Cricetulus griseus: one gene and its partners. The protein of the gene in region 1 interacts with the protein of each later gene in a biochemical or structural test. Links are inferred from orthologs where the notes say so. Each region holds a gene or a part of one and is shown in the gene's direction. Other genes may lie near its edges. The genes, in order: Magi3, Rps6ka1, beta-1 adrenergic receptor, Pten, Adrb2 and corticotropin-releasing factor receptor 1.

Region 1 (5,010 bases):
AGTGCTCTAAACTACTGAGCCATTCTCCAGCCCATCAAATACTTACTGCATCTCTTCTGTCACATTACTTGTGGATTGTTTATGATCTTACAAATATTTGGAATATTTGGGTTTTTATTTTCAATAATATCTCATTGTTCATTTTAAAGTTAATAAATACCCTGAGTTGCATGTCACCTTAATATAGAGCTTTAAAAAAAATCACAACATCTTTACTCATGTTCCTTACTATTAAATTTCCCCGTATTTTTTCACTTTCTTTTAAAATATACACTTCAGCCGGGTGTTGGTGGCGCACGCCTTTAATCCCAGCACTCGGGAGGCAGAGGCAGGCGGATCTCTGTGAGTTTGAGGCCAGCCTGGTCTCCAGAGCGAGTGCTAGGATAGGCTCCAAAGCTAAACAGAGAAACCCTGTCTTGAAAAACCAAAATAAATAAATAAATAAATAAATAAACAAACAAACAAACAAACAAACACTTCTGGTAAGTGACACCAGCATTATGGTATCATACTCTTAGTCCCAGTTTTCTGTTTGTTTCCCAAGATAATAACTTTATGTTTAAGTCACTATATGCAATCCAGCAATTGGTTTAAATAAGTGTTCATACTAATGTATTCTCAAAGCTTTATAAGTTGTAATCTCCAAATAAGTCACTTAGCTAAGGCCTCATACCAGGACAGGATAGCTGGCAATACAAAGAATGGCCAATCTCTCAGGAAAGCTTTAGTGATGAACAATCACCTGCCCCAGCTTTACTAAACCAAGTCAAGATTATTAGCTTGTGTTTGAAAGCACCCTTTACAAATTGTCATTTAGTTGCTGCTCTGTGCTGTATTTAGGTTAATATAGAAATGTCACTTTTTCTACTGTCTTAACTTTTGGCAGAAAACTAGATTTTTTTAAATTTCTTCCTTTTGCCTTACTAGAAATCAGTCTCAGGGCCTCACACATGTGGGAAAATCAGAATTTGATTCTTGATTAAGGCTCAGATACTGACTGGTAGCCACATAAAACTTTCCCACGTAGAATTTTTATAAAGTAAATAAAATCATGCATTGTCTCTCCTTATTGCTGTCATCTGTCCACCTATTAGCTATCTGTCCAGGTTAAAGATTTTACAAGTAAGAGTGAGTTAGCAGAATTGAAGGGCTCTGTTGACAATGTAGAAATGAAAAATCCTGCTGTTTCATACAGTTGTAAATGTTTCTTGTCCAGGTTGGTGACCAGATTGTGGAAATCAATGGGGAACCTACACAAGGCATCACACATACTCGAGCAATTGAGCTCATTCAGGCTGGTGGAAATAAAGTCCTACTCCTGTTGAGGCCAGGAACTGGCTTGATACCTGACCATGGTAAGTAAAGTAGCTAAGCATTCTTGCTGGGGAGGGGATGGCAGAAGGAAAGGGAATACCCCTTTGGAAGAGATGGACATTTTATTGGCTAATTTAGAAATGAACACCAGAAACACCTAAGAAAGTTACTATAATGCAAATGATGTTTCCAAATAGTATAATTGTTGCAGTAGAGCATTTGTTACCTTTATTTCATCTGAAATAGTGCTTTTTGGAGAGAAATGTGCCTATAAAATATGAGAACATTAGAGACAAACAAATGTCTTTAGAATAACCCAGCTTTTTTCTCCTTTGCTAATTACACTTTGCCAATAAATATTATTTTCTTAAAGTAAGCTTATCTCAATGAGTGAATGCCAGAACTTTAGGATTTTCTAGTCACTTATCAAAATAAGTTGCTGTAGCCCTACTACCTGGAGATAGGGAGTTAAATCTAAGATCATGTTTGTACTCCTGTATTGATGGTAAATGCCCTTGGCTTTATTATATATTTTGAACTGTCAGTGTTTTAAAAATCACTTTGGGAATGCATGATCCGAACTAAAGGCAGTACCACACCTGTTTTATATGTGTCTCCCTGCATAGCTCCCCATCAGAGCTGTTGTAGAGTAAATGTAGACATAACCTCCTATGGTCCCTTCCAGCTATGATTCTCTGGCTGTGTTACCTTTCACCATCTGCTCATACAGCACACATTCCCATGACATCTGTGCTAACTGTGCTGGTTTGTTTTCACATAGTCCTAGGCTTTTTCTCTTCCTTCTTCAGGTTTGGCTCCTTCCGGTCTGTGCTCCTACGTGAAGCCTGAGCAACATTAAGGCTTTCAGGGCTTTTCTTGGTCTTTCCTTAAAAAGACTTGGTAAATTTGCATGTCTTTTAAATCACTTCTTTCATTTTCTTTTTAATTAAAATGATGCTATTAAATACATCTACTTCTGTCTTCTGCACTTTTTCAGTCTTCTTTTGACATTAAATTTGACAGCCTAACAAGAAAATTATTTACAGTGCCCATAAACCTCATTTGGGTTACCACAGTCTGGTCTTTTTTCACTAGTGATTTTGGCATATCCTTAAGTTAAACAGTAATAATAGATTAATTAGTAAGTTTCTTGGACCAGGTACTTTGGTCCAATTTTATTATTTCTATCTTATTTGGCTTTATGAATAATTTACAGCTCATATATCACCTCTAACAGTACATAAGTGAAACAATTATTATAACAATCTACCCTTCATACATAAGCAGATATCTATAAGCATCTGCCTTTACAGAAAGTGACTTAAATATATACAAGTTATGTAACATATTCCTCCTTGGGCTATGCAACCTGTAACATATTCAAATGGCTGTCAAAGTTCAAAACTCACTGTTCCTATTCATAATTCTTGAGTGTAACTGTGTTCTACTCAATCACTTTTTAGGTGATTGGGATATTAATAGTCCTTCATCTTCCAATGTCATTTATGATGAACAGCCACCACTTCTCCCATCTTCACATTCTGCTTCCGTATTTGAAGAGTCTCACATGCCAGTAACTGAAGACTCTCTGATTAGAGTTCAGATATGTGAAAAGGCAGAAGAACTAAAGGACACTGTACCAGAAAAGAAAAGCACTTTCAGTGGAAGCCAGCCTGAAATGAAGCATCAGACCGTTCTCCAGAAAAATGTGAGTAAGAAGGATCCACCCAGTAGTCAAAGGCATGGTGAGAAGAATCTACTAAAAGGAGAAAATGGTGTCACACGAAGAGAGAGATCTGCTAGTCCCAAAAAGTCAGCTAATCAACATTCAGAGGAACATTTGGAAAAGATTCCCAGGCCCCTAAAAAGTGACCCCAAAGGAAAATCTAGAGATCGGTCACTCAGCCCTAGGAAAGGAGAGACTAAAGGTCAGATCACCACTAAGGCGGGTTCTGGACAAGATCCCTGCAGAAAAGGCAGAGGACGATCTTCTAGTCCCAAGAATCAGCAAAAGATTGTAGGCACTGGCCCGTCAAACACTGAAAGCCAAAGGGCAGCAGGCCATACTAGTGACAGTACTGAACAGCTCCCAGATGGGAAAGAAAAATCGGGTGTTGTCAGGAAAGATCTGAAGCAGAGTCAACTTGGAAAAACCAGAACAAGGTCTCCAGAGAAAAAGAGCAATAAAGTTGATGAAACATCTCTTCCATCCAAAAAGATCAGCAACACTGCTAGTAGGGCGGTGTCTGAGAAGGAAAAAGGAAAGAAGCCAACCACAGGAGAAAATGTCCAGATCTCAGCAAAGAAGCTCAAGCAGGAACCTGAAGAGAAGATGACGTTAGGTAAAGCAGAAGATCACAAAGGGAAAGAGCCAGAGGCCACTGACAGATGCAAGGAGCGTGCAGGGGGCATACCTGAAAACAGCTCTCCAGTCAAAAAAGCTCCCATCACTCCAGGGCCCTGGAGAGTGCCACGTGCAAATAAAATCATAGGCCCTGCTGGCATGGCTGACAAACAGCTATGACCTTTTGTATAATACAAAGAAAATTAAGTTGTAATTTTTTACTCAAACACAGCATTCTTTTAAGGGGAAAGGTGTCCAGATAGTCTTCAATACCTAATTGAAGCATCAAGTTAGACAGACTGCATGAAAGTCTTCTGGGATTCCTAAGACCCACCTGGCCCTGGCTGGCTGCCCTTCTTCACATTCAGGAAGGAGCTGCAGCCATGGGCTCATCTGCCATGCCCTGCTCAGGCTGCCCGCTCAGCAATGACATGATCTTAGCAGTATGGTTACAACTCACTTTGTATTCGTGCCAAGTTACCTATTGTATCATGTCTGTTTTATCATTCCCATTCTGATATTTCCAGTCATGAAACAGTTCGGTTTAGCTTGAAGATGTTTCCAATAGCATGTTGCATGCTTACAGAGAGAAATATTTGAGTCCTTGCAGAGGAAGAAATTGTTAGCTCATCATTAAAGTTGGCACTTGCCGATTTTCATAGCTTCTGACCATCCTAGTTTAAAAATGCAACTCAGAAAGATCACTACATTACAGGAAAAATCAAATATTAAAGATGCTTTTTTTATGGCTAAGTAAGGTGTTTCAAGTAACTGTTAAAGATAGTCCTTACAATTGAATGCTCAAAATGAGGAAGTACTAACCAGCAGAATGAACAAACTCCTGCCAGTAGCCAACCCTAATGTAGCTACGGTGTCTCAGATCACCTGTCGTAGGAAGAGAAGTGCAGGAGCTTGTGGAAGTACCATTTGTTTCTCTTCCAAGAAAAGCTACTATCTGGATATTTTGATTATTAATCATTAGTCTTTAATACATAATTGATATTTTTGTGAGGGACTTAATCATGTCAGTTCTACAATCCACTGTCAGATAAAGCACCAGCTCCTGTGGCATAGAGAAAGAAGTTTATCTGGGACCGATGCAGGAGTTTTAGGGATTTAGAAGCAGTGCTTGCATTCGGCTTTCCCAGCAAGTCAGGACTAATATGCTATAGACCACATGTGTTGGAACTTTAATTTTTAGCTAACTATTTAAAAACAGGAAAAGATTTCAGAGTTATTTTCTAAAGTCTAAGAAGAAAAATGTTTGCTGAAAGTTGAAGACAAGTTTTAACCTCATATAATAGATTGGGATGTTCGTTTGGTTCCTTGAAACAGCATTCAGAAGCATCTAT
Region 2 (4,622 bases), on another chromosome or scaffold:
CACATAGAAGGCTTACCTAGTTTTTGTTGATTGTTGTTGTTGTTAGTTTGTATTTTGAGACAGGGTTTCTCTGTGTAGCTCTGGCTGTCCTAGAACTCCCTTTGTAGATCAGGTTGGTCTCAAACTCAGAGAGCCACCTGCCTCTGCCTCCCCAGTGCCGGGAATTAAAGGTGTACGCTACTACCATGCCCTGCTTTTGTTTATTATATTTGAGACACGGTCTTGTAATATAACTTAGGCTAACCTGAAACTTGCTATGTAGCCCAGGCTTTTCCTAAACCCACTCTGTGGCCTGGAACTCACAGAGATCAGCCTACCTCATCCTCCCCAGGGCTGGGATTATAGACCCAGCAAGAATACTTAACTATTACAGGCCACTGGCCTTTGAGGAATTCCAGTTTTCTTTGTCCTTATAGACTATAGAGGAGAACTCTGGAAATGGGCTTGTTGTGACTGTATCCAACTGTTGGCCTCCAGGTCCATGTTTTAGTGACTGGGATGTGTCCTCACAGGTCCGAAAGCTCAGCTTCTCCTCTACTCATACCTAGAGGCCAGTCAGGACCTGAGCTAGCTATGTAGAACAGTGGGGCCCTGAAGTGGAGGCAGGGGCGCGAGGTCACTTGTCTCTCGGTGTGACGTTGTACTTGATCCTGCATAGATAGCATCCGCAGGCACAGCCTCAGTGTTGTCCCTGACTACTCAAGCCAGGTGGGAAGACTCCATTCCCTCATTGGGAAGACCCTCGTCTGTGGCTTTATCCTTGCAGAGCCTCTGAATCAATTCTTTTGCTAGACCTGCAAAATGGCAGTGTTTGATTACATTTGTTCTTTTAGTTAATGTGTACATCAGGCGTTGGTGGCGCACACCTTTAGTCCCAGCACTCAGGAGGCAGAGGCAGGCAGATCTCTGTGAGTTTGAGATCAGCCTGGTCTACAAGAGCGAGTTCCAGGACAGCTTCCAAAGCCACAGAGAAACCCTGTCTCGAAAAAAAAAAAAGGAGAGGAGGAGGAAGAAGGAGGAAAATAAAATATTAAAATATTGGGCCTGAGTTGCTACATGGTGACTGTCACCTAGTCCCCAGGAACAGTGTTTAGTCTGGTTGCTGTGTTTTCTCTCCGTCTGACTTCTCTCATGCCTGCCTGGCCTACTGTAACTTTCTGTGATAATGGACACACCTGATGGCCAGTAAATACTATGTCGCTTTTCCAGGCTGTGCCCCACCCCCTCTGTTCCAGCCATGGTGAGGCACAGTTCCTGTCAGTTACTCATCTCTTTGTTGCTAGGGCAGAGTAATATCACAAACTTCCCTGTCTCTGTTCCCCAAAAGTGTTCTTTATGCCACACTAAACTGAAAAGACCCTGCATCCATGGTCAGGGCTGAGTTAAAGTCCTGCCGTTGTTTGTCACAAGTCAGCTTTTCTCTCAGGGTCTCCATTGCCTCCTGTAAAATGTCACCTGCCTACATACTGAGGTGTGGTGAGTAGCCCCAGTGAGATCATGATTGTAAGTGATATTTTTGGGGGGTTTGTTTTGTTTTGAGGCAGGGTTTCTCTGTGTAGCTTTGGAGCCTATCCTGGAACTCATTCTGGAGACCAGACTGGCCTTGAATTCAGAGATCCGCCTGCCTCTGTCTCCCGAGCGCTGGGATTAAAGGTGTGCGCCACTGCCTCCTGCCACCACCACCACCGGCTTAGCCAGGGTTCTTACCTGTCAATCCATCCTTCTGGCCCTGCTTTTGTGGGTTGGGTGGTTGGTTGTTTACAAGGACTGTGTAACTCAGGTTGTCCTCTAACTTACTGTGTAGTCAAGGATGAACTTGAACTTCTGATCCTCCTGCAGGATGCTGTAACACTGAGCTGCATACCCAGTCCTCCATTTTTCTTCTTTACATTTTTATTATAGTCTGTGTGTGTGTGTGTGTGTGTGTGTCTGTCTGTCTGTCTGTCTGTCTGTTTGTCTGTGCACACGCATACTGTTGAAGCACATGCATGTGGCTGTCAGGACAGCTTTTGGGAGTAGGTTCTCCGCTCCTACCATGTGGATTCTGTTGATAACACTTAACACTTAGGATAACACTTTCTGGGAGCGCTTGTCCCCACTCAGACATCTCGCTGACCCCTTGACTTAACGTTTAAGGGACTCACTCTGGCAACAGCAGAGTCTCCAGGCAGATGGTGGTGTTAGGGACAGCATCCCCAACAGGAAGAGGGGCTGGGAGTGCCTGAGCAGCGCCAGCAGATTTTTTTGGTGAAATGGCTGAGATGTACAGGGAAAGAAAATTTTTTAAAAAGGAGGGAAAAGAACACATACTGTAAGAGGGAGCTACCTCAGAAGAGTAGGTGAAGAGTGGATTGAAGGGGAGACATTTGGATGGGCTCAGAGCCACAGGCGTCTTCACGGAGATCTCAGAAAGACAATACAAAGCTGGTGAGGTGGTCCAGCATAGCATGTAAAGGAGCCTGCTGTCAAGCCTGACGGCCTAGGTGTGATCCCCGGGACTCACAGGGTGGAATCACACCACCACACATTTTTTTAAGGAAATATACTGACATAGGGCCCATTTCAACACTTTCCCTCCCTCTCAGGGTCTGTGTTCCAGTCTGTGTGACTTTCCCAATTCTGACAGTTGGCATGAGTCACTAGTAGCTCCTAACCCAGCCCTCTGTCCCTAGGTTGTCCACAGGGACCTCAAACCCAGTAACATCCTGTATGTGGACGAGTCTGGGAACCCTGAGTGCCTGCGCATCTGTGACTTTGGCTTTGCGAAGCAGCTTCGGGCTGAGAATGGGCTTCTCATGACGCCTTGCTACACAGCCAACTTCGTGGCCCCTGAGGTTAGTGGGGGTGATAGGAGCTGAGGTGCCTGCTCTCAAAGGCCCCATGCTGTCTAGAACTGCAGTGTTCATGACCTTGTCACAGGCACCAAGAAAGGCCTATAGCCCATGCTTCCTACCCTTCTGGGATCTGTCTGATCATTTCCAAATGTCCCTGAGCCTGACCACACCCATCCCATCCCCCTCCTGCCAGGTGCTGAAACGTCAAGGCTACGATGAAGGCTGTGACATATGGAGCCTGGGCATTCTGCTGTACACCATGCTGGCAGGGTGAGTGTAAAGTCTGGGTCCATGGCCCTGCCTCTGGGAGCTGCCAACCTCCTAACCTACCCCCGGTGCCACAGTGGAGGCCAGAGGCTAAAGCCAGGTTCGGGAACTCCTCTAGATATACTCCATTTGCCAATGGGCCCAGCGACACACCGGAGGAGATCCTCACCCGGATCGGCAGTGGAAGGTTCACCCTCAGCGGGGGAAACTGGAACACGGTCTCAGAGACAGCCAAGGTGAGTCTGTGAGGCCCGGAGGACAGAGCCAGGCTGCCAACGTCAGGGCTTGTCAGCAGTTCACGAATGGGCTTGCTGCAGCCCCTTTCTCCTAAGTAGAATGTTCCAGAAATCCCCATTGCAGTCTGGCCCCAAGTAGAAGATTCCCAGACGTATGCCCTTCCATGTTCTGGTCCCGAAAGGATGCGGGGAGCTGCCCAACCCTGTTCCTCTCTGTGGGAAGTTGATGCGGTAGCCAGTATGGCCAGACGAACCTGTGCCCTGTGGAAGGCCTTCTCAGAGGAGACTATACTTGAACTTAGAACACTGTGAAGTTTCTAATCACCAGGACACCCTGTATAGTAGAATCAGGTCGAACCTTCATGGAAGCACCAATGTTTGAGACGGGTAAACTGAGGCTCACAGAGTTAAGTAACTGTCCAGGATACTCAGGCTGGTGAGTAGAAGAGCTGAGTTTAGGATTTTTATTTGTTTGAGGGTCTGTAACTTTCAGAGTTTGGTTTGGTTTGTTTGGTCTCACTGCATAGTCTAGGCTATCCTACAACTAGGTCTGTGGGCCAGGCTGGCATTAAACTCATCCAGATATGGCCTCTGCCTCCCCACTACTGGGATTAAAGTTGTGCACCACCACCCCCAGCCTTATTTTTATTTTTAATTATATGTGTGTGGGAATGTGCATGTGAGTGAGTCCAGGTGCCCACAGAGGCCAGAAGGCACAGGGCCACCTGGAGCTGGGTTTGCATCTGTTGTGAGCCTCCTACCAAGTGCTGGGAACTGAACTCCAGGCCTCGGGGAGAGTGGTGAGCACTGAGCTTGACTTTTACATTGAAGATGGTCTTTCCCAGCCCTTGCTGGCCCTCAAGCCTACGTAGCCGAGGCTGCTATTGAACTCTTGGTCCCCCTGGTTCTGTCTCCCAGGTGCTGGGATTAAAATACCTGGCATGTTTTTTTCATGGATTTTTCTCTTAGTTTTTGTTCTACATCACACTGGAGATGGAACTCAGCGCCTGGTGGGTGCCAGGCAAGCGCCCAACCGCTCGGCTACATTTCACCCCAGGAAGAGTCAAATTTGAACCTGTGTATGGTGATATCTTGATGGCTCAAATAAAACGTGTCTGAAAATCAGAGGGTGGAACTTGCCACTAGCTAACCATTGAGGTCTGGACTTCACACAGACAGACAGGAAGTGAGATGGCTGGGCAGAGAAAGGAATATAAGTGGGAGGAAACAGGAACTCTCTTTTCCCCTGGGAAGTGAGTGAGGTAGAGGTGGCTCTGGCTTGCTC
Region 3 (4,551 bases), on another chromosome or scaffold:
GAGGAGCCCACCCCAGCCCTGAGGTTCATGCTCGCTTTCCAGCATCCAATCCACCTAGGAAAAAAAAAAAAAAAAGCTAACAACTCTAGTTTCATATTCACTTGCCAATGTGAAGGGGGAAACGCGACCTAACTTTAAACACTTTCAGATTTAATCGCCTTGGGTGTTTATGTATTTTCTTCCCTAGTCTTTCTAAAGCTAATCCCACGGTTTGGGGAATCTGCGAAGTTGGGCAAAGGAGAAAACAGCTCCCCTACCCAAGAAATCTGCAATCCTAGTTCATGACGTCAACCAAAAGGAATAGCTCCTTGTGTTGACTCAGCTCGGATTATAAAACCCAATGGGCGCGACAGAGCACAAATGCAGGTGTCAAGGTGTTAAAATCAGAGCCAAAAACTCTGAAGCGTCATTCGGTGTGTCCTTTCTACGCGGGGTGGCGGCGGTGGTGTCATCTACTCTAGACTGCATGTTGCAAACTTCTCCTTCATACTCGGCACACACCGTGGCGTCATTCTCCTTGGCTGGGGTTGGGAGGTGTGTGTGTGTATGTGTGCGTGTGTGCGTGTGCGCGTGTGCGCGTGTGCGCGTGTGCGCGTGTGCGCGTGTGCGCGTGTGCGCGTGTGCGCGTGTGCGCGCGCGTGCGTGCGTGTGTGTGTGTGTGTGTGTGTGTGTGTGTGTGTGTGTGTGTGTGTGTGTGTCCAACTGGTCCCTGGCGTTGACTGTTAACACCCAGAAACCTTCACTTCCTTTCTCCATTGACTGGGCTTGAGTGACAGCACAGCTCTGAGCGAGAACAGCCAGAGAGCCTTTCTGACAGATGCGCGCTCTGCTCCAGCAACCGGCCTGGCTGGAAACTTTCCTCTAACCACGAACACCCACTTCCCATTCCCCCCAAGCTGTCAGGCTGGCCGGGTCCCCTCTCGAGCAGGGAAGGGCCAGGCTGCCTGATGGCAGAACCAGTCTCACAGCTAAACTCCTCCAACCCCAGCAGACAGGCTGTTCAAGGCACTGGGCGTCTTGAGAACGCCAACAAGATTCCCTCCTCGCTGCAGGGAACTCGGCAGAGGAGGCAGAGCGGCGCGGGAGCTGCGGGGCGCCGGTGGGAAGGAGGAGAGCTAGGGCGGGAGCCGCGCCGCGCCGAGGGAAAAAGAGAGCTGGTGCTGGGGCGAGCGGGGACCCCCTGGAGGGGGCGGGGACGCAGCAGACCCGACTCCGGTAGAAGCCTGCCGGAGCCGGAAAGGGCGCGCTCGCTGCAGCCGGTGGGTGCCGGGGAGATGCTGGCTCCGCAGTCCGCCCGGAATCTTTGGAGCGGCTCAATCGCGGGTAGGAGGGGGTGCCGGGTGTTGGGGGGTGGGGGCACCGTTGTCGGGGGCGTGCCTTGGCGGCGATTGGCTGCGGGAGCTTGACGCGCGGCCCCGGGGCTGGCTAGGGGGGTGGCAGCGGGGTGGGGTGTGGGGCCGGAGCTGTCGGCCCCGCGCGCTCAGAAACATGCTGAGGTCCCGGCGGCTCTTCCAGCAGCGGCAGCGGCTCCAGCAGCAGCGGCGGCGGCGGCGGCGGCGACAGCGCTCGGCTCCGGCGGAGAAGGCGCTCGGAGTCCATGCCTCCGGCCCCGAGCCGCGGCTGCCCTGACCTGGCCGCGACCTCCCGCGCGGGCCCCGCAGCCCCGGCTCCTGGGGTGTTCCCCAGCCGCGGCCCAGCCCCGCCACACCCCCCGCCCCCGGCCTCCGCAGCTCGGCATGGGCGCGGGGGCGCTCGCCCTGGGCGCCTCCGAACCCTGCAACCTGTCGTCGGCCGCGCCGCTGCCCGACGGCGCGGCCACCGCGGCGCGCCTGCTGGTGCTCGCGTCGCCGCCCGCCTCGCTGCTGCCTCCCACCAGCGAGGGCTCAGCGCCGCTGTCGCAGCCGTGGACTGCGGGCATGGGCCTCCTGCTGGCGCTCATCGTGCTGCTCATCGTGGCGGGCAACGTGCTGGTGATCGTGGCCATCGCCAAGACCCCGCGGCTGCAGACGCTCACCAACCTCTTCATCATGTCCCTGGCCAGCGCCGACCTGGTCATGGGGCTGCTGGTGGTGCCTTTCGGGGCCACCATCGTGGTGTGGGGCCGCTGGGAGTACGGCTCCTTCTTCTGCGAGCTCTGGACTTCGGTGGACGTGCTGTGTGTGACGGCCAGCATCGAGACCCTGTGTGTCATCGCCCTGGACCGCTACCTCGCCATCACGTCGCCCTTCCGCTACCAGAGCCTGCTGACGCGCGCGCGAGCGCGGGCCCTCGTGTGCACGGTGTGGGCCATCTCGGCTCTGGTGTCCTTCCTGCCCATCCTCATGCACTGGTGGCGGGCCGAGAGCGACGAGGCACGCCGCTGCTACAACGACCCCAAGTGCTGCGATTTCGTCACCAACCGGGCCTACGCCATCGCCTCGTCCGTCGTCTCCTTCTACGTGCCCCTGTGCATCATGGCCTTCGTGTACCTGCGGGTGTTCCGCGAGGCCCAGAAGCAGGTGAAGAAGATCGACAGTTGCGAGCGCCGCTTCCTCGGCGGCCCCGCTCGGCCGCCCTCACCCGCGCCCTCGCCGTCGCCAGGGCCGCCGCGCCCCGCAGACTCGCTGGCCAACGGGCGCTCCAGCAAGCGGCGGCCGTCGCGCCTCGTGGCCCTGCGCGAGCAGAAGGCGCTCAAGACGCTGGGCATCATCATGGGTGTGTTCACGCTCTGCTGGCTGCCCTTCTTCCTGGCCAACGTGGTGAAGGCCTTCCACCGCGACCTGGTGCCCGATCGCCTCTTCGTCTTCTTTAACTGGCTGGGCTACGCCAACTCGGCCTTCAACCCCATCATCTACTGCCGCAGCCCCGACTTCCGCAAGGCCTTCCAGCGCCTGCTCTGCTGCGCGCGCCGGGCCGTCCGCAGACGCCGCGCATCCCACGGGGACCGGCCGCGCGCCTCGGGCTGCCTGGCGGGAGCTGGGCCGCCGCCGTCCCCTGGAGCTCCCTCGGACGACGACGAAGACGATGCGGGGATCACGGCACCCGCGCGCCTGCTGGAGCCCTGGGCTGGCTGCAACGGCGGGGTGACGACTGTGGACAGCGATTCGAGCCTGGACGAGCCGGGGCGCCGGGACTTCTCCTCGGAATCCAAGGTGTAGAGAGCCAGGCTCTCCCGGCGGGCGCACGGACGCCGGCCCCACGGTCCCGGCCTGGACACAGGCTCCGCGTCCCTAGAGGAAGAGAGCTTGCCGGGCGCCCCTGAGCCGCTCCGCAGAGGAGGGAGGAGACCTCTGTTTACTCAAGACCGAAAGCAGGTGAACTCACAGATGAATCTGAATCATCCCAGACGTACAGCAAAGCCCCGGACCGTCCGCAGCGCAAAAAGGGAAGTTTGGGAGGAGTTGGGAGAGTGTGGCTTTCTGATTTGTCTTGGGTTCCTTTCTCTCTGGGGTTCGGCCTTTTGTGTGTTCTCGTGATACACCTTTAGCTTTTGTTTTTTGTTTTGTTTTGTTTTCCAGATGGGTTTTGACATTTTCTGCAAGGACCGGAGTGGAAACTAGGTGGGGAGGGTAAAGGGGGAATGAAGTCTACCACCTGGCTTCCGGTTCCACATCTAGGAACCTAAGTAGTCAGCTCCAGTTTGGGGTGCTGGTGGGAGCGGTGATAATTAGCCAGGAAATGTTTTCTTTTGCTTTCTAAAGAAATTGCATATTGATTCCGGAGTACTGGTGTCTCCGGTTCTTAAAGCAAAGGGGAAAAGATGGATACGGAAACAGACAAATCTGGTTTCGAGAAACGTTAAGCTATTCGTGAAACACGGTTCACCTTGCTTTCTTCTGGAGGGCAAACCCTGTCCCCTGCGCGCCTCGGTGGTCCTGCTGAGGGTTTTCTACCTCACTCTGTGCATATTGCACAGCAAGATAGAAAGACTTGTTTATATTAAACAGCTTATTTATGTATCAATATTAGTTGGAAGGACCAGGCGCTGAGTCTCTCTCTGTGACATGTGACTCTGTCAACTGAAGATAGGACAGAAAAAAAAAAAGGAAACAGTTGAGATTATTGCACATGTGGCTAAAAACAAAGATGACAAAAAAAAATCAGTGGTTGAGAATGTCATTTTGCACAGTGTTAGGCATTGTAAAGTCCATAGAAGACGTTAACTTGCACAAAAATTAAATATTTTTAATGGGATGGGGAGGTGGGCAGATCTTAAAAAGCTAAAATAAAATTCAAACTCAATTCTCTTGTCCATTACATTATTGAGTTGATGCTTTGTTGGGAACTTACTTTTTATACTCTTATCATGGTACTGTAACTGTATTCATATTATAAACATTATCTTACATATTTTTATTATTATTTTTTAATGTCCAAGTGCCCACGTGAATCTGCTGGTAAAATTTAGCACTCGTGTGTATATTCTGTTTCTTCTGTGTGTGTGACCAAATATTTATACTCTGGTGCAACTAGCTACTGTGTGGGGAATTGGTCCATGTGCAATAAAACACCAGTGCAGCCAACCAAGGTTATGTACTGTGTGTCTGTAAGGGGTCAGTGGTGACAAGAAAG
Region 4 (5,444 bases), on another chromosome or scaffold:
GCTCAGATAAGTCACTTGGCTGAGTCTACAGTAGGTGGGGCGCGTTCACCAGTTCAGGGGCAGTGACTGGAAGTTTGTTGCAACATCGGTAAGCCCGGGCAGCCAGCAGCAACAGGAGATACCCTTTTGCCCCGCGAGTACAGATCTACAGAGGGTCCATCTCATTAGCAAACGAGATGCGTCAGATGCCCTCAGGCCCAGCCTCTTCTCCCACGGTTGAGAACGCGCGGTGTGGGCAGACCCAGAGCAGGACTCTCGGCCTTCTGGCTCGCTCCATGGGTTGCAAGCGAAAGGGAAGCGCAGGCTGGGGACTCTCCGCGTCACCGTGCACAAACCGGCGGCGGCCAGCAGAGAGGGGTGGCCGGGGCACGTGCTTGAATGTGGGTGCTTGTGTAACCAGCTCCCCAGGCGCTTGGCCCCGACAGCGCTCCTGCGGACCGCTCGTGGGTGCCGCTCTCCGCTCCGACCGGGATGAGCAGGGGTCCGGCTGCCCCCACCTGGGGTGACCACCTAGCAGAGCAGAAGGGTCCAAGCTCTTGCCTCAGGAGCACACAGATAGGGGAATGGGAATTTGGAAAGTTCCCCAACTAGGACCACACGTGACCTCCTCCTGAAAGTAGTTCCGACCGTGGCTCGTGTATCCTTCCACCTCGCCTTTGAGCCCTCCCAGGCCTGCTCGCCCCGCCCACTCGCAGGCTGCAGCTTCCGACCCTACCATACTCCCCACCCCGGCCCAGTAACCGGCTCCCGGGCCGTGCACGGTCCGAGTGGAGCAGAACCTGGCCACAGCGATCCAGTTCTGCTGGGTTTTCAAAGCGGCCACAAACGGGAGGGGATGCTTAGCCACTTCAAGACGGAGGCTGGCTGATCCGGTGGACCCACGGCTGCGGGGAGCTGCGGGACTCGCCACCCAGCCGCAGAAGGGTGCGTGTGGGGTGCACCCTCTTCACGGAGATGCACTTCGTGTCCACCCAGGGGTGTCCTCTGGGCCCCGGATACTCAGGGGAGACGTGTAGGTACACGCCCCGTATGCACAATCATCACGCTTGGCTGGGAGCGTTCACCTTTCGAGCAAAAGATCCCAGCCGCCTGGGAAGCGAGAGGTGGGGCAGGGAACCCGAGCCCGATGAGGTGACCCACGCGGGAGACACAATAGGGGGTTGTTCTTTGTGCAAAGCCTGACACCTTGAGGACACCGTGGCGGGAGAGGTGCACCATCTAGGTAAAGGCTGTCGCTGACAAATCCTAGCGAAGCACTGCAATCTGACCACGGCGCGGGGCAGGGGACGCAAGCCGCTCCAAAGGAACCCAGGGGCGGGCGGAAGGAGGCGGGATGGGTGTCCCTGCCGCAGGGCCGTGCCCCTGAGGCTCCTGAGACACGGACCAGCACGACCAAGCTGGTCCGATCCACCGGAGAGCAGCCAGCGATCCCGCTCGGCGCAGCTCTCCGCGGCCACAGCCCGCCCTACCTTGGCCGGGTGTCTGCGAGCCGCGGCCGAAGCCGGCGCAGCTCCGGGAGACAACCGCGGTCACACTGCGCATGCTCCGCGCCGCGCGCCGCCCCGCCCCCGCCCGCCCGCGCCCCGCCCCCGGCTCCGCCCCGCCCGCCCCCCCCCCCATCCCTTCTCTCCTCCCCTCCGGCTTCGGAGGCGCCCGGCTCTCCTGGCGGGGCGGCGGAGGGGGCGGGCCGGCCGGCCGGCGCACGGTGATGTGGCGGGACTCTTTGTGCACTGCGGCAGGATACGCGCTTGGGCGTCGGGACGCGGCTGCGCTCGGCTCTCTCCTCTCGGAAGCTGCAGCCATGATGGAAGTTTGAGAGTTGAGCCGCTGTGAGGCCAGGCCCGGCGCAGGCGAGGGAGATGAGAGACGGCGGCGGCCGCGGCCCAGAGCCCCTCTCAGCGCCTGTGAGCAGCCGCGGGGGCAGCGCCCTCGGGAGCCGGCCGGGCGGCGGCGGCGGCAGCGGCGGCGGGCCTCGCCTCCTCGTCGTCTATTCTAACCGGGCAGCCTCTGAGCGGCTTCGGAGAGAGACAGACGGTGGAAGCCGCGGGCTCGGGCGGGAGCCGGCGCAGGCTCGGCGGCTGCACCTCCCGCTCCTGGAGCGGGGGGGAGAAGCGGCGGCGGCGGCCGCGGCTCCGGGGAGGGGGTCGGAGTCGCCTGTCACCATTGCCAGGGCTGGGAACGCCGGAGAGTTGCTCTCTCCCCTTCTCCTGCCTCCAACACGGCGGCGGCGGCGGCGGCACGTCCAGGGACCCGGGCCGGTGTTGAGCCTCCCGTCCGCCGCCGCCGCACCCCCCCTGGCCCGGGCTCCGGAGGCCGCCGGAGGAGGCAGCCGCTGCTGCGAGGATTATCCGTCTTCTCCCCATTCCGCTGCCTCGGCTGCCAGGCCTCTGGCTGCTGAGGAGAAGCAGGCCCAGTCGCTGCAACCATCCAGCAGCCGCCGCAGCAGCCATTACCCGGCTGCGGTCCAGGGCCAAGCGGTAGCAGAGCGAGGGGCATCAGCGACCGCCAAGTCCAGAGCCATTTCCATCCTGCAGAAGAAGCCTCGCCACCAGCAGCTTCTGCCATCTCTCTCCTCCTTTTTCTTCAGCCACAGGCTCCCAGACATGACAGCCATCATCAAAGAGATCGTTAGCAGAAACAAAAGGAGATATCAAGAGGATGGATTCGACTTAGACTTGACCTGTATCCATTTCTGCGGCTGTTCCTCTTTGCTTTTCTGTCACTCTGATAACGTGGGAGTAGACGGATGCGAAAAATTTCTGTAGTTGGGGTGACTATAACGTTTAATACTGGTCACATTTCTAGATCGTCAATTTTGTGTGTCTCTCCCGGTGTATTCAACCTAGGGAGTGTTCAGCTAGACGGAACTCATGCCTGCTTGCAAGTGTCAAGGCACGGATTGGTTTCTTGTCTAGCTCTGTGGTCTCTTCCTAAAATCTATTGTCCGTGAATGCAGAGTTTTGTACATTGGATTAACGAGCTCGTTAATCCAAGCCTTCTAAATGAACCAAATTAGACGCTGGTGAGGTTGTGCTTATTTCTATTAGATCGTGACTTAGGCCCTAGATCTAGGGTGTAGATCAGATTAAAATGAAAGTCCGTGCTGCACGAAGGCATATTACCTCAGAATCTTGCAGTGATTGTTAGTTTCCTGGGTTGCGTTGATAGATTTTTCTAAAATGTAACTTGTGGACTGATTTGCATAACTTTATAAGCATAGTCATCCTCAGAGTAGATGGTGCACTTTTGAGGGTAAAAGTAGGTTTTGTGTGTTTAAACTGGGGTAATTACTTACCACTTTGGAACTACATGTAGAAGTTCTGTAGTTTGAGATCAACAGTGCCAGAATTTGCGTTATTGGAGCTTTTAATAGAACTTTGTTAAATTAGACTTTGTACGTGGGATGAGGCATGAGCTTTGCATTTCAGCGGTATTTTACATTCATTTGGCTTTGCCATACATGATGGGATAGAAATTGAATAGTTTTTGGTCCCAGGTGATGTCCGTGTGAGTTCAAGGATATTGTGTGTGGCGAATGGTTGCAGAGGTTAAACCTCAGCTCTCACATGAAATTTAACTATTATCGTGAACAGGAATTTGCTGCTCAAAATTTTTGTGTTTCAGGTGCTCTGACCCGTTGACTGCCCATGGGTTTTACCCTGATTTGTATAGAATGTCAAGTATAATTTAACCAGCTAATGCCCAGAAATACTAGCAAGAGTGGATCACTGACTTCAGATTGTAGGTATGGTAGCTTTTTAAATGCAGTAATTTCCTGAGTCAGCTTGTTGAATAAGACAGAAACCCAAGAATTTTTAACGGTGTATAGTTCTGATTGTCTAAAAGTTAGGTCTTTGTACTTCAAAAGTTCGTGGTTATCTTAAAGCATTTATCTTTGCAGTTTCAGGTATGGTATTGGTTTTGATCAGGGATAGGAAGAGAGCCCTCCTTTTTTGGAGGAAGTATTGACAGATATTGAGAGCTTTTGGGAGGCCGGTGTGTGAAGAAAACACAAGTTGCTGCTCTGAAGTGACAGGGCTTTTGTTACGACCCCAAATTATTTTTTCATGTGACTTGTAGCAATGAGCAGAATTTAGTTAAAATTATGTAATTGCATAATTGTTAATAAGATAGTCTTAGTAAAAGTTAATTATTAGTAAATACCAGCAGACATTTCTTAAGGTAGAAGGTCAGAGACTTGTCTATACATGTCCTGATAATAATAAGAGCATTATGGAGAGGCTTTTTTTTTTTTTGTAAGAAAATGTTTTCATTTGGAAGAGGTTTGGTTTTTTTTTTTTTTTTTTGATTGCATTAGCAGCATATAAACATGCATAGCTAATTTTGACCGAGTTTTTGTTCTGAAATGAAGATGAAACTCACTGAAGAACTGGCTTTAGAAGTAGGCTAATTTTCTGTTAAGAAAATCTTTAATCTGTTAAGGTATCTTTAATTTTGAAGTTTGCATTAATTTTCAGTTTATATTTCAAAACTTTACTCTGGATGAACTTGACCTTTTCTGAAATGTAATTGTAGAAAATTCTGGGTTATCACTTGCTTCAAGGCAGTTGGTATAAATTAGTGATAGTAATCTAGATATAGAAGGAATTAGTCCGGTATCTGTTTAATTAAAAAAAATAGGCCCTCATTCAAAGAAAAATCTGAATGCCTGGTAGTCAGGCTTCTCTTACCTTCCACAGTACCCTTATGTTTTGCTGTTCCCACTTGATTTAAAATTATCAGGTGTGTCGGACTTCAAGATTGTTTTGCCAAATTTTTATGTGTGAGCAGTGACATGATTGCAGTTCCTTATTTGATTGCATAGTACATGGGCTTCTGCACGTGCCATTTCTGTGAGTTAGAGCTCTGAAACTGTACTTTTAGTATAATGTGCATAGAAAGCAGTATCAAATATTGCATCAAATGACTAATAACACTTAATTTCTAGAGCTGTGGTTTTATTGAGCCAAATGTTGAGTCTATAGGGAGAAAGTCGGTGAAGCCGTTGCTCTTCTGAGAGTTGTCCTCCCAATGATTTTGATAAGCCAGAGGGGCTTGCTTGATTCCTCATCAGTGTGTTCTGTGTTTGGGGGCAGGAGTTAAAATGCTCATTGAAGACTTGAACTGGTCAGTGTTGGCACCGAAGCTGGCCAAGTTAAGTTCCTTTCTGAAACTAGTAAATGGGATATTTCTATTCGCTGTAGAAGGGTCAGCAATCAGCAATGATGTACTTTCTCAGGAAAGCTGTGTTTTCAAATCCTCTGCAAAATTGAATTGTTGTAAGAATTTGTTGGTTGGATTTGATTCTGAGCAGTCTAGAAAATAGGCTGAATGTGAGATTGCAAGATTTCATGTGTTTAAAGCACATGCAGAGCTCAGGCTTCTGTTACAGGCCTTTGTTTGCTAGATTAGGAACCCTTTCAGATACTGATCACGGGAATATT
Region 5 (4,517 bases), on another chromosome or scaffold:
AAATACCCCCATGGGACTATGGGAGGGATTAAATGCAATAATGCACAAAAGGGGCATAGCAGAATGTTCCCTAAATGTCAGCTATTGTTATGTTATTATGTAATCTACAAAGTATGTTTGGTTATGCGGTGTGAAAGACTTGCAGTTTGTCAAAGATAACACATGTGAAATCAAACGCAAAAAATTATTTGTTTTCCCAATAGTCAAAATCATTTTCCAGATGAGGATAGTATTTCATGAATCTAGGTCTTTGTCTGATTTTTTTTAAAGGGGGGAAACAACTATCATTTACTTTCTGTAGTTTTAAAATGGTCTCCAGAGAGCATGTTTTTAATATAATGTTATATGAAATTATGGGTTTTTTTTAAAACAATAGTAGCAAGTCCAACAGTAGCAAGTTCACATGACACAGCTTAAAAGATTAACAAATTATCCAGCCAACACATGAAATGATATTTTTATAGTTTCAATGGAGTAATTGAAGAAATTCTTTGAAATGAAAATTATCTGGACTGGAGAGGTGCCTCGGTGGTTAAGAGAACATTAAGTGCTCTTCCAGAGGACCAGGGTTCAATCTCAGCACCCACATGTCAGCTTATGAGCTGGTACATTTCTGTATCTCCAGTCCTATGGAATCTGATGCTCTCTCCTGACCTTCAAAATAAGCACAAATACAATGAAAAGACATACCTAGAGATAAAACTCCCATATGTGTAAAATAAATGAATTTAACTTAACTTTTAAAAATGTAAAAGGAAAATATTACATTTTCATTTTCAATGCATCCTCATATAACAAGAAAATGATGCCACACTCCCAAGAATTAAAAATAAAATAAAACCACCTAACTCTCCCCTAAATGTGTAAATACTTGAACTCCTAATGAAAGACAAAGGGTAAATTACTGCCTCGATGCCTGCAAGGTCTCAAGGGGGGAGGATGCCAAAACATATTTTTCAAAAAGTGTGCAGAGAAACTGTAGCTATTGAAGTCACCTCCTGTGCTCTTGCCAAATAACTGTAAGGGAATATACTGAGAGTCTGGGAATGGGAAAAGAGGGTGTCATTTATAAGTGCTTCAGGAGGATGCTACCTGGATGTGGACATGGGTGTCTGAATGGTCCGCACACCACATCTCCACATGAGCTCTTGTGTACATTTCTTTCTGCATGTTTCTAGGTATTCCTGTGTTTGTTTTTAGCCACCTTTCTGCATTGGACCAGGAGACAGCTGTCGTCTCCAGCGTGAGTGGGCGCGGGTGTGTCTCGGTGTCTGTGGCTGTGGTGCGGCATAAGTCTGAGCATGTCCACGTCGGCCGAGTGCGTTTGTGCCTGTGTATGCGTGTCCGAGTGTGCTTGTTCAGTCTCTCTTCTCTGTTCCTAAAGGAAAATGCGCTGTGTGCCACCTGCATCCAGAGACCTCAGCCCGCAGAGGTGACCTGCACGGACAGGTAGAAGAACTTCCAGACTGCGCTTGGTTGGTGGATCGTACAGCAGCTCCAGATTTCTGTCTCTGAGGCCCCACTAGGGTAGCTGGGAGGGAGTGGTGGCTTGGCCTCCGGGGAGCACTGGGGCCCCGCCCGGACCAACCCCAGGAGGAGGCGGGCTAGGCAGGGAGGGTTGGCCCTTGGTGCCTCGCCCCTCCGGGCATGCGACCGTACCATTGGCCCAAAGTTGTTGCACGTCACCAAGCAATTCCCCTAAAGTCCGGTGCACATAACGGGCAGGGAGCATTGCGAGACTGCTTCTCCAGCGTTCAGGCTGCAGCTAGCAGGCACCGCGAACCCAGAGCACCCCACGAGCTGAGTGTGCAGAACGCGCCCCCAGCACAGCCACCTACAGCCGCTGAATGAAGCTTCCAGGAGTCCGTCCCCGGCAGGCTGTGCCCCGTCGGAGGTGCACCCGCTGAGAGCGCCAGGGCGCCCAAAGCCAGTGCACTCACCTGCTAGTCTGCCAGCGATGGGGCCACCCGGGAACGACAGTGACTTCTTGCTGACACCCAACGGAAGCCATACGCCGGACCACGACATCACTCAGGAACGGGACGAAGCGTGGGTGGTAGGCATGGCCATCCTCATGTCGGTTATCGTCCTGGCCATCGTGTTTGGCAACGTGCTGGTCATCACAGCCATTGCCAAGTTCGAGAGACTACAGACCGTCACCAACTACTTCATAACCTCCTTGGCGTGTGCTGATCTAGTCATGGGCCTAGCGGTGGTGCCGTTTGGGGCCAGTCACATCCTTATGAAAATGTGGAATTTTGGCAACTTCTGGTGTGAGTTCTGGACTTCCATTGATGTGTTATGCGTCACAGCCAGCATTGAGACCCTGTGTGTGATAGCAGTGGATCGCTACATTGCTATCACATCGCCATTCAAGTACCAGAGCCTGCTGACCAAGAATAAGGCCCGAATGGTCATCCTAATGGTGTGGATTGTATCCGGCCTTACCTCCTTCTTGCCCATCCAGATGCACTGGTACCGTGCCACCCACAAGAAAGCCATCACCTGCTATCTCAAGGAGACTTGCTGTGACTTCTTCACGAACCAGGCCTATGCCATTGCTTCCTCCATTGTGTCTTTCTACGTGCCTCTAGTGGTCATGGTCTTTGTCTATTCCAGGGTCTTCCAGGTGGCCAAAAGGCAACTCCAGAAGATAGACAAATCTGAGGGAAGATTCCATTCCCAAAACCTCAGCCAGGTGGAGCAGGATGGGCGGAGTGGGCACGGACTCCGAAGGTCCTCCAAGTTCTGCTTGAAGGAGCACAAAGCCCTCAAGACTTTAGGCATCATCATGGGCACATTCACCCTCTGCTGGCTGCCCTTCTTCATTGTCAACATCGTGCATGTCATCCAGGAAAACCTCATCCCTAAGGAAGTTTACATCCTCCTTAACTGGTTGGGCTATGTCAATTCTGCTTTCAATCCCCTGATCTACTGTCGGAGTCCAGACTTCAGGATTGCCTTCCAGGAGCTTTTATGCCTCCGCAGGTCTTCTGCGAAAGCCTATGGGAATGGCTACTCCACCAACAGTAATGGCAAAACAGACTACATGGGGGAGGCAAGTGAATGTCAGTTGGGGCAGGAAAAAGAAAGTGAACTGCTGTGTGAGGACACCCCAGGCACGGAAAGCTTTGCGAACTGTCAAGGTACTGTGTCTAGCCTTAGCCTTGATTCCCAAGGGAGGAACTGTAGTACAAATGACTCACCACTGTAATGCAGGCTTTCTGCTTTTTAAGACCCCTCCCTGACAGGACACTAACCAGACTATTTAACTTGAGTGTAATAACTTTAGAATAAAATTGTATAGAGATTTGCAGAAGGGGAACATCCTTCTGCCCTTTTTTATTTTATTTTTTTAAGCTGCAAAAACAAGAGAGGGGGAGAAGCTGTATTTGAGTGCTTATTTGTTTCTTGTGCAGTTCAGTTCCTCTTTGCACGGAACTTAAAAGTTTCTGTCTGAAGCGTGTTGGTCCTAGAGGACTGTCTGTACGTTTAGATGATTTTTCCATGCATCTACCTCATTGGTCAAGTGTTAGGGTATACTATTATTGCTGCTAGTAATTTGTATCAGAAGGAAGTTTTCCTTCCTGTACCCTTGGACTTGACAATCCTGTGTCTTGGACCTTTCTGCTGTGAATATATACTCTCCCCCGCTCCACTTATTTGCTCAAATGGAGTGTTGTAGGCAGTGATCTGAGGGACAGCTTCAGCTGTTTTTTTCTGAGCAAAGTCTAAAGTTTACAGTAAATAAATTGTTTGACCATGATTTCATTGCACCTGTTTCTCCAAAACCTCTTGACTCTGGAGTGTCCTTGTCTTTCCCACTGGAAACCACAGGTAACTATGTGTCATAACTGCTGTGTGTCTTGATGTGGAAGGGTACCAGAATGGTATGCATTGATTGCCTAGCCCTCCCATGTGCCTTTGGATTTCCAAATGCAAACCTGTGTCTTTCCTAATTTTACTTGTGCCCCAAATCAGTTCTGCCTGCTCTCAGCATAACCCAGTGTGTCCTACAGTTGCTATTCTGTGCTGTCACCTCGGAAACCCTGACTCAGAGAGAGAGAGAGAGAGAGAGAGAGAGAGAGAGAGAGAGAGAGAGAGAGAGGAGAGAGTGTGTGTTCTGGGCATACGTTCTGTCCCACATGCTCCTGCTACCTACCTTCCAGCCCTTGTTTAAAAACTGTGTGGATTTATATCACTGGCATCTTTTACAGTAGTGCCCTTTGTACTGCAGCAGGGCTTGGTGTATTCAGGATGAGGAAGATGTTCTGTGTAAAGCTATTCAGGAATCTCAGAATTCCAAGGGAAATCAGAGACCTTGGTCATAGAGTGCAAAGCTTTCAAAGATAGCTGGTGAATAGTTCATACCCTGAACACGGGTTCAGCCTCTCCCTTCTTCCGCTTTCCTGGTCTCCTCTCCCCTGATTCTCTGCACTTCTTTGTAAATCAGGCTTTCTCATGCCTGGCATTCCCATGCATTATAGGATATTTAGCAGCAGACCTGCACCCAATTA
Region 6 (5,617 bases), on another chromosome or scaffold:
GGCTTTCACATGCTCTGGACCAACCCAGGCCTCCGTTGGGAGCATCCCTGATATCTGCAGGATACAGGAGAGTACCAGGAGCACACTTAAAGGGTATACTGAGTCACTTTGCTTTGGATGGCTAAGGAGGGGTTCTGACCATAAGGACAGCTGAGTCACCCGGTGCTGGCCAGGGTTAGAAAAGACACAAACTGTGTGGGCACCTATGTACCAGAACAGAAGGGACTGTGTGGTGAGAGGTGACAGAGGGTTACATAGATGACATAGATGGGGATGTGTCTTCAAGTGGGAGCTGGAAAACAGAAGCTTGTTTTATTAGATTGATAAGGGTAGGTGGTGGTGGTGGGCTGGTATTTTTCAGCAGAGTTTGCCATGTCTTTAATTTGCCGGTGGCTGAAATGAAACTGATTGGTTGATTGATATTGATTTGTGTGGGGTTAGAAGGTGAAGGGAAGCAGGATTTTCTAGAAGGGACCTCTAACCCCAGCAGCCATCACCTATTTGTGGGGATAGCACAGGTTTCCTACTGACTCTTAAGTGAACTGTGTAGCTTTGTCAGAAGGACACTGCTCTCTGCTTAGCTATCAAGAGCCACCAGCTAACCCATGACTTCCTCTTCTCTCCACATCTGCCTTTGCATTGAAAATGGGGCCAATGATATTTCCTCACCCTCTGGAGACTGGGAAGCTTAATTACTGATTAATAAAGTGTGGGAAATTGCTCGGGGCCAGAACAACTAAAGGGTTTATTCTAATCATTGCCAAGGCCCAGGAGTGAGTTCCCTGTCCCCAGGGCTGATAGCAGAGCAGCACCTGTACCTGCACAGAATGGGGGGACTGGAGACTGTTGAGTTTCATACTTGTGTCAGTAAGAGTCCTGGGGTGAGATGGAGGGAGGGTGCCTGAGGTGGGGGAATGGATGAAAGCCCACTAAGGACTTAAGGGTATAGTGTGGCTCTGTAAGTCACCAGGATTAGGGATGGCTCTTATGGGAGTGGGTCCAGGCTGTGGTCAGGAATACAAATGCATGGTGGGAAAGAAGGCAGAAGAGCCTGCCTTTGTCATCAATATATGACAGAAGGGGAAGTGAGTACTGGTGAGGCTGGGGGGACTGGCCCCTGAAGGGAGCCAGACAGATGGACAGATAGACAGATGGGGACACATGCACACACACACACACACACACACACACAGAGAGAGAGAGAGAGAGAGAGAGAGAGAGAGACTGACTTAGCCCATCCACAGTCAAATTAAAACTAGGGCTCCATTTGCTTCTCAAGCTGGATGTGGTGGTCCTTATTGATAATCCTCTTGATCCTAGGACCCCTAAAGAGGGAACAGGAGAGCAGAGTGGGGTGACTATGTGGAGAACACTCCCAGGGTTGCCATCCTACCTGGGGATTCTTCTCACGGTGGTTAGGTCCCCAGTGGAGAAAAGACAGCCTGTCGTAGTTCCCCTCTCCCACCCCACATGCTTCTGGACCCCATTTGCAGAATGAATCCCAACAGACGAGGCCCCAGCCCATCTCCACCTCCCTAGTTAGGTCAGCTAACAACTACTGAGTATGTAAATCCTCATTGAGCGCCCATTGTGTACCCAAAAACATCATTCATTAGCCTCATTGCCAGAATGAATACAGTGTAAGCACAGACACAGGGGAGGCCTGCACTTGCTTTAGAGCAAGGACACTGAGGCCCGGAGAGGTCACATGGCCCACTCATCCAGACTCCCACCTGTAGAGAGGATAGTAACCCAAGAAAGTGCTCATCATTGTTGGGGTGGGGCTGTTCATTCAAGAAGGGATCGTCTTCCGGTCATAGGACTCATGGCTGAAACCCTGGAGTCAGAGTAACACTGGGCCCTCAGTAGGGTTAAAGGCCTTCCCTGGAATAGGTGACCCATCTTCCCAGACACAATCATTTCTTTAGCGCCTCAGTTTCCCCATCTTCAGTAGCCATATCCATGCTGTCCCCGGGGTGAATTAAGCCATTGTAGATATCGCAGGACATCGGAAGAGCTTGAAACATGAGGCTCAATTTGCAATGACTGGTAGTCATTGACAGGGATGAAGGCTCAGGAGGAGCTCATAACCACGGGCCTGAAATACCACAGAGGTAAGGAAGGTGGAGGGTTGTGTGCAAATGTGTGTGCATGCACTTGGAGCGACCGCGTTAGACATGTTTGGGGTCTGTGCCTCCATTCCAGGCCCTGCGTGAACCAGGCAATTTCAAACATTCTGGATGGGACCAGGAGACTGGGCAAGGGTAGGATGCTGGGCAGAGGAGGGGGGGCAAGAATCATCAGCTCAGACTGATGAGTACCCCCCTAACAGTGTCCTGTACCCCCTTGTGTCCACAGGCCCTTCTCCTCCTGGGGCTGAACCCTGTCTCCACCTCCCTGCAAGACCAGCGCTGTGAGAGCCTGTCCCTGGCCAGCAATGTCTCTGGTGAGTCATCCCTGCCCCTTAGCTCCCAGGTTCCCACAGGATCTCCTTCCCTAGAGCTCTGAGCAGCGACCTGTATAGAAAAATCTCTGGAACTGGAGTCAGTGAGGGTAAAGGGGCCTGTAGTTATCCAGGAGCCTCGTCTGTGGGCACAGGAAACACACTCAGCAAAGGTGCCTTGTGGTCACCATCCCAGGGGGCAACAGGGGAAAGCCCTCCAGGCCTCACTGCTGAGGATATTGGCAAAAGGTCCAAGGCTGCTGCTGTTGCTAAATATGCTGGAGAGTAAGGCTACATGCTGCTAGCACCAGGGATTTGAGATCCTGTCACCCATCTGACTCCAAAGGCAACTGAGGCACAGACAAGCACTAAGTGCTAGAGCCTGGGTTGCAAAGGCAGTCTGGCTCCCTGGTGATGCTCAATACCTGCCCAATAGAAAATTCTAGGTAAGGGGCTGGAGAGATAACACAGTGGTTAAGAGCACTGCGCGTTCTTCTAGAGGACCCGGGTTCAGTTCCCAATACTGGTACTCACAGGAAGATGATGCCCTGGACTTCTTTGGGCTTTGCTTTGCCCAAATTGAGGGAGGGGGATCCTGAGGTTAAATGCACTGAGTTTTGCAGGTTTGTTTCATAAGCTGTAACATCCAGACAGCTACTGGGTATAATCATGGGTAGCTTTTTCAAAGTACTTACTGTGCACCTAGGAGAAAGAGAAAGTACACCCTACGATTGCTTGCTTACTACAACGGAGGGTGTCAGGGAGGCTAGGATAGGGGTAGGGCAAATCCCAGAAGCCTTCCTGAAGGAGGGGTTTTTAAGTGAGCCTAGAGATAGAGCAGTCAGTGATTGAACACCAGTGGCTAAGTTGGCAGAAGGACTCACCAAGGTGAAGAAGGCCCTGGCCGTCCCAGCATTGGACTACCCACTGGCTGGGTTGAGCAGGGAGTGCGTTGCTCTCAGCCTATCAGCAGTGGCAGCCAAGGACAGGCAGGGAGGATGCCTGGAGGAAAGGTCCCCGTCCCTCCTCTCCACCCCAGGCCAGGTCAGGCTCCATTAACTTGCTCCTATTCAAGAGAAGTGACACCCTGGAGCCACACAGGTGTCACCTGTCCTTGGAGGCAGCAGGCTGTGAGGGATGATGTTCATTCTTCCGTGATTTGTGCTGGATGCCCCACCCCCTCCCAGCCTGCCTGGCTCCATAGGATGCAATCCATCACCTTCCACAGTGGCCTCCGCTCTGGCCATTTGTCATCTGATGGGCATTGGCAGAGACAGATGGTGAGAGTGGGGTGGAGGGCCCGGGACAGATGGATGGGCGTCTGGCCCGAGTGGCTGGCACTGTGCTGAAACCTTTGGGGGCCTTGCACATGCCTCATGCCAGAAGTAAGGAGGGGCTAGGTTCCCATGGCCAAGGCCCCCATCATGTGACAGATTATAGACTTGGCAACTTATAAAATCATGGCATGAGTATGACTGTGCCAGAAAGTAATAGAATTACTGACTAGTAACACCCCAGATAAGTGGAGTCAGGGCTCAGGAGGACGTGGGGTCACTAGTTCCCATCGCTGTTCTTAAGGCGGTAACGATGAACAACAAACCGTAATAATAACAGCTGATTCGTGTGGATGTCCACTTCATGTTGGGCACAATTCTAGGTGCTCAGCCTCATCCGGTCATCACAATAGATTCAGCAAGGATTTTGGTTCCCGCTTTAGAGAAAAGGAACCTTACACTCAGAAAGGTTGAGTAACTTGGACTGAGCACACACAGTTGCCAAGCACTGGCCACAGGGGTTGAGCCAACTGAGCCTGATTTCAGATTTAATACATTATGTGGTCACTTAAGAGATCTGTCATATCCAGGGCCCAATGTTACTTGGAGACACAGTGTCACTTGGAGGTGCAGTGTCAGCCCTGCAGTTTTCCCTGAGCACACTAAACTTGTATATGGCCCTATGGTTTCTTCAGCACCTACTATGTGCCTGGACTTCTACAAGGTATTGAGTGCAAACATCAGGAGTGGTCAGAGCACAAGGCAGGAAGCCTCACAGGCTTCTACCTCTCTCTTCGTGTGGCCCACACTCTACAGAGACACCTTTCTTCACCCTGCTAAAGAGGCAGCTTAACCCGAGGTGCCAAGACTGCCTGCCTGCCCCGTGCCTCTGTCTGTGCCGTGTCACCCAAACAGAGCAACTGCCCTTTCATCCCAGAGCACTCTCCTCCTAGCAGGAGTACCCATCTTTGAGGTTGCCCTAGAGCACCTTCCTGCTCCCCAGGAAGCCTCGGAGGAGTGTCCCCAGTCTCAAATCAGATAGGTAGATCAGATCTTCCTACCTGAAAGGGGGCTGCCAAGTGCTCACACCCTCTGTGGTTCACTCAGAAGCGTGTGATGGAAGACCACTCCTAACTGGGACAGGAGCATGGTTCTAGTTTCCTTCCAGCATTACCTACAGCACGAGGGCCCTCTGCGCACATTAGGGCACTAAGCTTGATAGGGAGGGAATTGTGTGGCCAACTTGACAGAAGAAACCAGTGCCCAACTGTGCACAAGCAGAAACTGGGCCACCCTTCAAAGGGCCCTTATCTGTTATCTGCGTGACACAGTGACGAGAATGTCAACCCCAGAGACCTCAGCAAACACCTGCCTCAGGACCTTTGTATCGGCTGCTCCCTCTTCACCATCTATGCCCATGACTCCCTCCCTCCCTTCAAGTTCATAATTAAACTTAGTGTTTTAGAGAAACTCCAAATTAAAATAGCATCTAGTTCGTCTTTATTTCCGTACATTGTTTGTAGTATTTCTCACAGGATAGCACATGCTTGCTCAATCACTCTGTCTCCCGCTAGGATGCAATCACCCTTGGGACAGGACATCTTTTATTCTTTCTGTTTTGTTTTGTTTTGCTGTTTTTTCGAGACAGGATTTCTCTGTGTAGCCCTGGCTGCCCTGAAACTTGCTCTGTAGACCAGGGTGGCCTCAAACTTACAGAGATCGCCTGCCTCTGCCTTCTGAATGCAGGGATTAAAGACATGTGCCACCACTGCCCGACCTGTTTCATTCATTTTATATCTCTAGTTCATGCCATTTCTTAGGTGACTTGAGTATTTTGAATTGTTTTGTTTTGTTTTGTTAAGAGAGGGAAAGAACATAAAGTCGGGTTGGTAAGGAGGAA

What was found.
Region 2: the proteins of Magi3 (region 1) and Rps6ka1 interact in a test that uses a peptide from one of them, tested with the Homo sapiens proteins (2 studies listed by BioGRID and IntAct). The link is inferred for Cricetulus griseus from reciprocal best matches to the Homo sapiens genes MAGI3 and RPS6KA1.
Region 3: the proteins of Magi3 (region 1) and beta-1 adrenergic receptor interact in a test that uses a peptide from one of them, tested with the Homo sapiens proteins (2 studies listed by IntAct, with this or other methods). The link is inferred for Cricetulus griseus from reciprocal best matches to the Homo sapiens genes MAGI3 and ADRB1.
Region 4: the proteins of Magi3 (region 1) and Pten form a complex in vitro, tested with the Homo sapiens proteins (2 studies listed by BioGRID and IntAct, with this or other methods). The link is inferred for Cricetulus griseus from reciprocal best matches to the Homo sapiens genes MAGI3 and PTEN.
Region 5: the proteins of Magi3 (region 1) and Adrb2 form a complex in vitro, tested with the Homo sapiens proteins (2 studies listed by IntAct, with this or other methods). The link is inferred for Cricetulus griseus from reciprocal best matches to the Homo sapiens genes MAGI3 and ADRB2.
Region 6: the proteins of Magi3 (region 1) and corticotropin-releasing factor receptor 1 form a complex in vitro, tested with the Homo sapiens proteins (2 studies listed by BioGRID and IntAct, with this or other methods). The link is inferred for Cricetulus griseus from reciprocal best matches to the Homo sapiens genes MAGI3 and CRHR1.

Annotation. Positions count from the first base shown.
Region 1 is NW_023276806.1:52,925,054-52,930,063, forward strand, and holds part of Magi3 (membrane-associated guanylate kinase, WW and PDZ domain-containing protein 3), read left to right. Parts: intron 1-1,216; coding exon 1,217-1,355; intron 1,356-2,123; coding exon of another isoform or gene 2,124-2,173; exon of another isoform or gene 2,174-2,214; intron 2,215-2,777; coding exon 2,778-3,838; 3' UTR 3,839-5,010.
Region 2 is NC_048595.1:19,424,492-19,429,113, forward strand, and holds part of Rps6ka1 (ribosomal protein S6 kinase alpha-1), read left to right. Parts: intron 1-2,672; coding exon 2,673-2,834; intron 2,835-3,027; coding exon 3,028-3,104; intron 3,105-3,219; coding exon 3,220-3,337; intron 3,338-4,622. UniProt on the Homo sapiens protein: Serine/threonine-protein kinase that acts downstream of ERK (MAPK1/ERK2 and MAPK3/ERK1) signaling and mediates mitogenic and stress-induced activation of the transcription factors CREB1, ETV1/ER81 and NR4A1/NUR77, regulates translation through RPS6 and EIF4B phosphorylation, and mediates cellular proliferation, survival, and differentiation by modulating mTOR signaling and repressing pro-apoptotic function of BAD and DAPK1.
Region 3 is NC_048596.1:4,712,539-4,717,089, reverse strand, and holds beta-1 adrenergic receptor, read left to right. Parts: upstream 1-1,736; coding exon 1,737-3,137; downstream 3,138-4,551. UniProt on the Homo sapiens protein: Beta-adrenergic receptors mediate the catecholamine-induced activation of adenylate cyclase through the action of G proteins. This receptor binds epinephrine and norepinephrine with approximately equal affinity.
Region 4 is NC_048596.1:28,806,492-28,811,935, reverse strand, and holds the start of Pten (phosphatidylinositol 3,4,5-trisphosphate 3-phosphatase and dual-specificity protein phosphatase PTEN), read left to right. Parts: upstream 1-1,741; 5' UTR 1,742-1,859; coding exon 1,860-2,682; intron 2,683-2,782; exon of another isoform or gene 2,783-3,698; coding exon of another isoform or gene 3,699-3,745; intron 3,746-5,444. UniProt on the Homo sapiens protein: Dual-specificity protein phosphatase, dephosphorylating tyrosine-, serine- and threonine-phosphorylated proteins.
Region 5 is NC_048595.1:176,927,523-176,932,039, forward strand, and holds Adrb2 (beta-2 adrenergic receptor), read left to right. Parts: upstream 1-1,957; coding exon 1,958-3,214; downstream 3,215-4,517. UniProt on the Homo sapiens protein: Beta-adrenergic receptors mediate the catecholamine-induced activation of adenylate cyclase through the action of G proteins. The beta-2-adrenergic receptor binds epinephrine with an approximately 30-fold greater affinity than it does norepinephrine.
Region 6 is NC_048600.1:117,186,151-117,191,767, forward strand, and holds the start of corticotropin-releasing factor receptor 1, read left to right. Parts: upstream 1-2,240; coding exon 2,241-2,264; intron 2,265-2,358; coding exon 2,359-2,446; intron 2,447-5,617.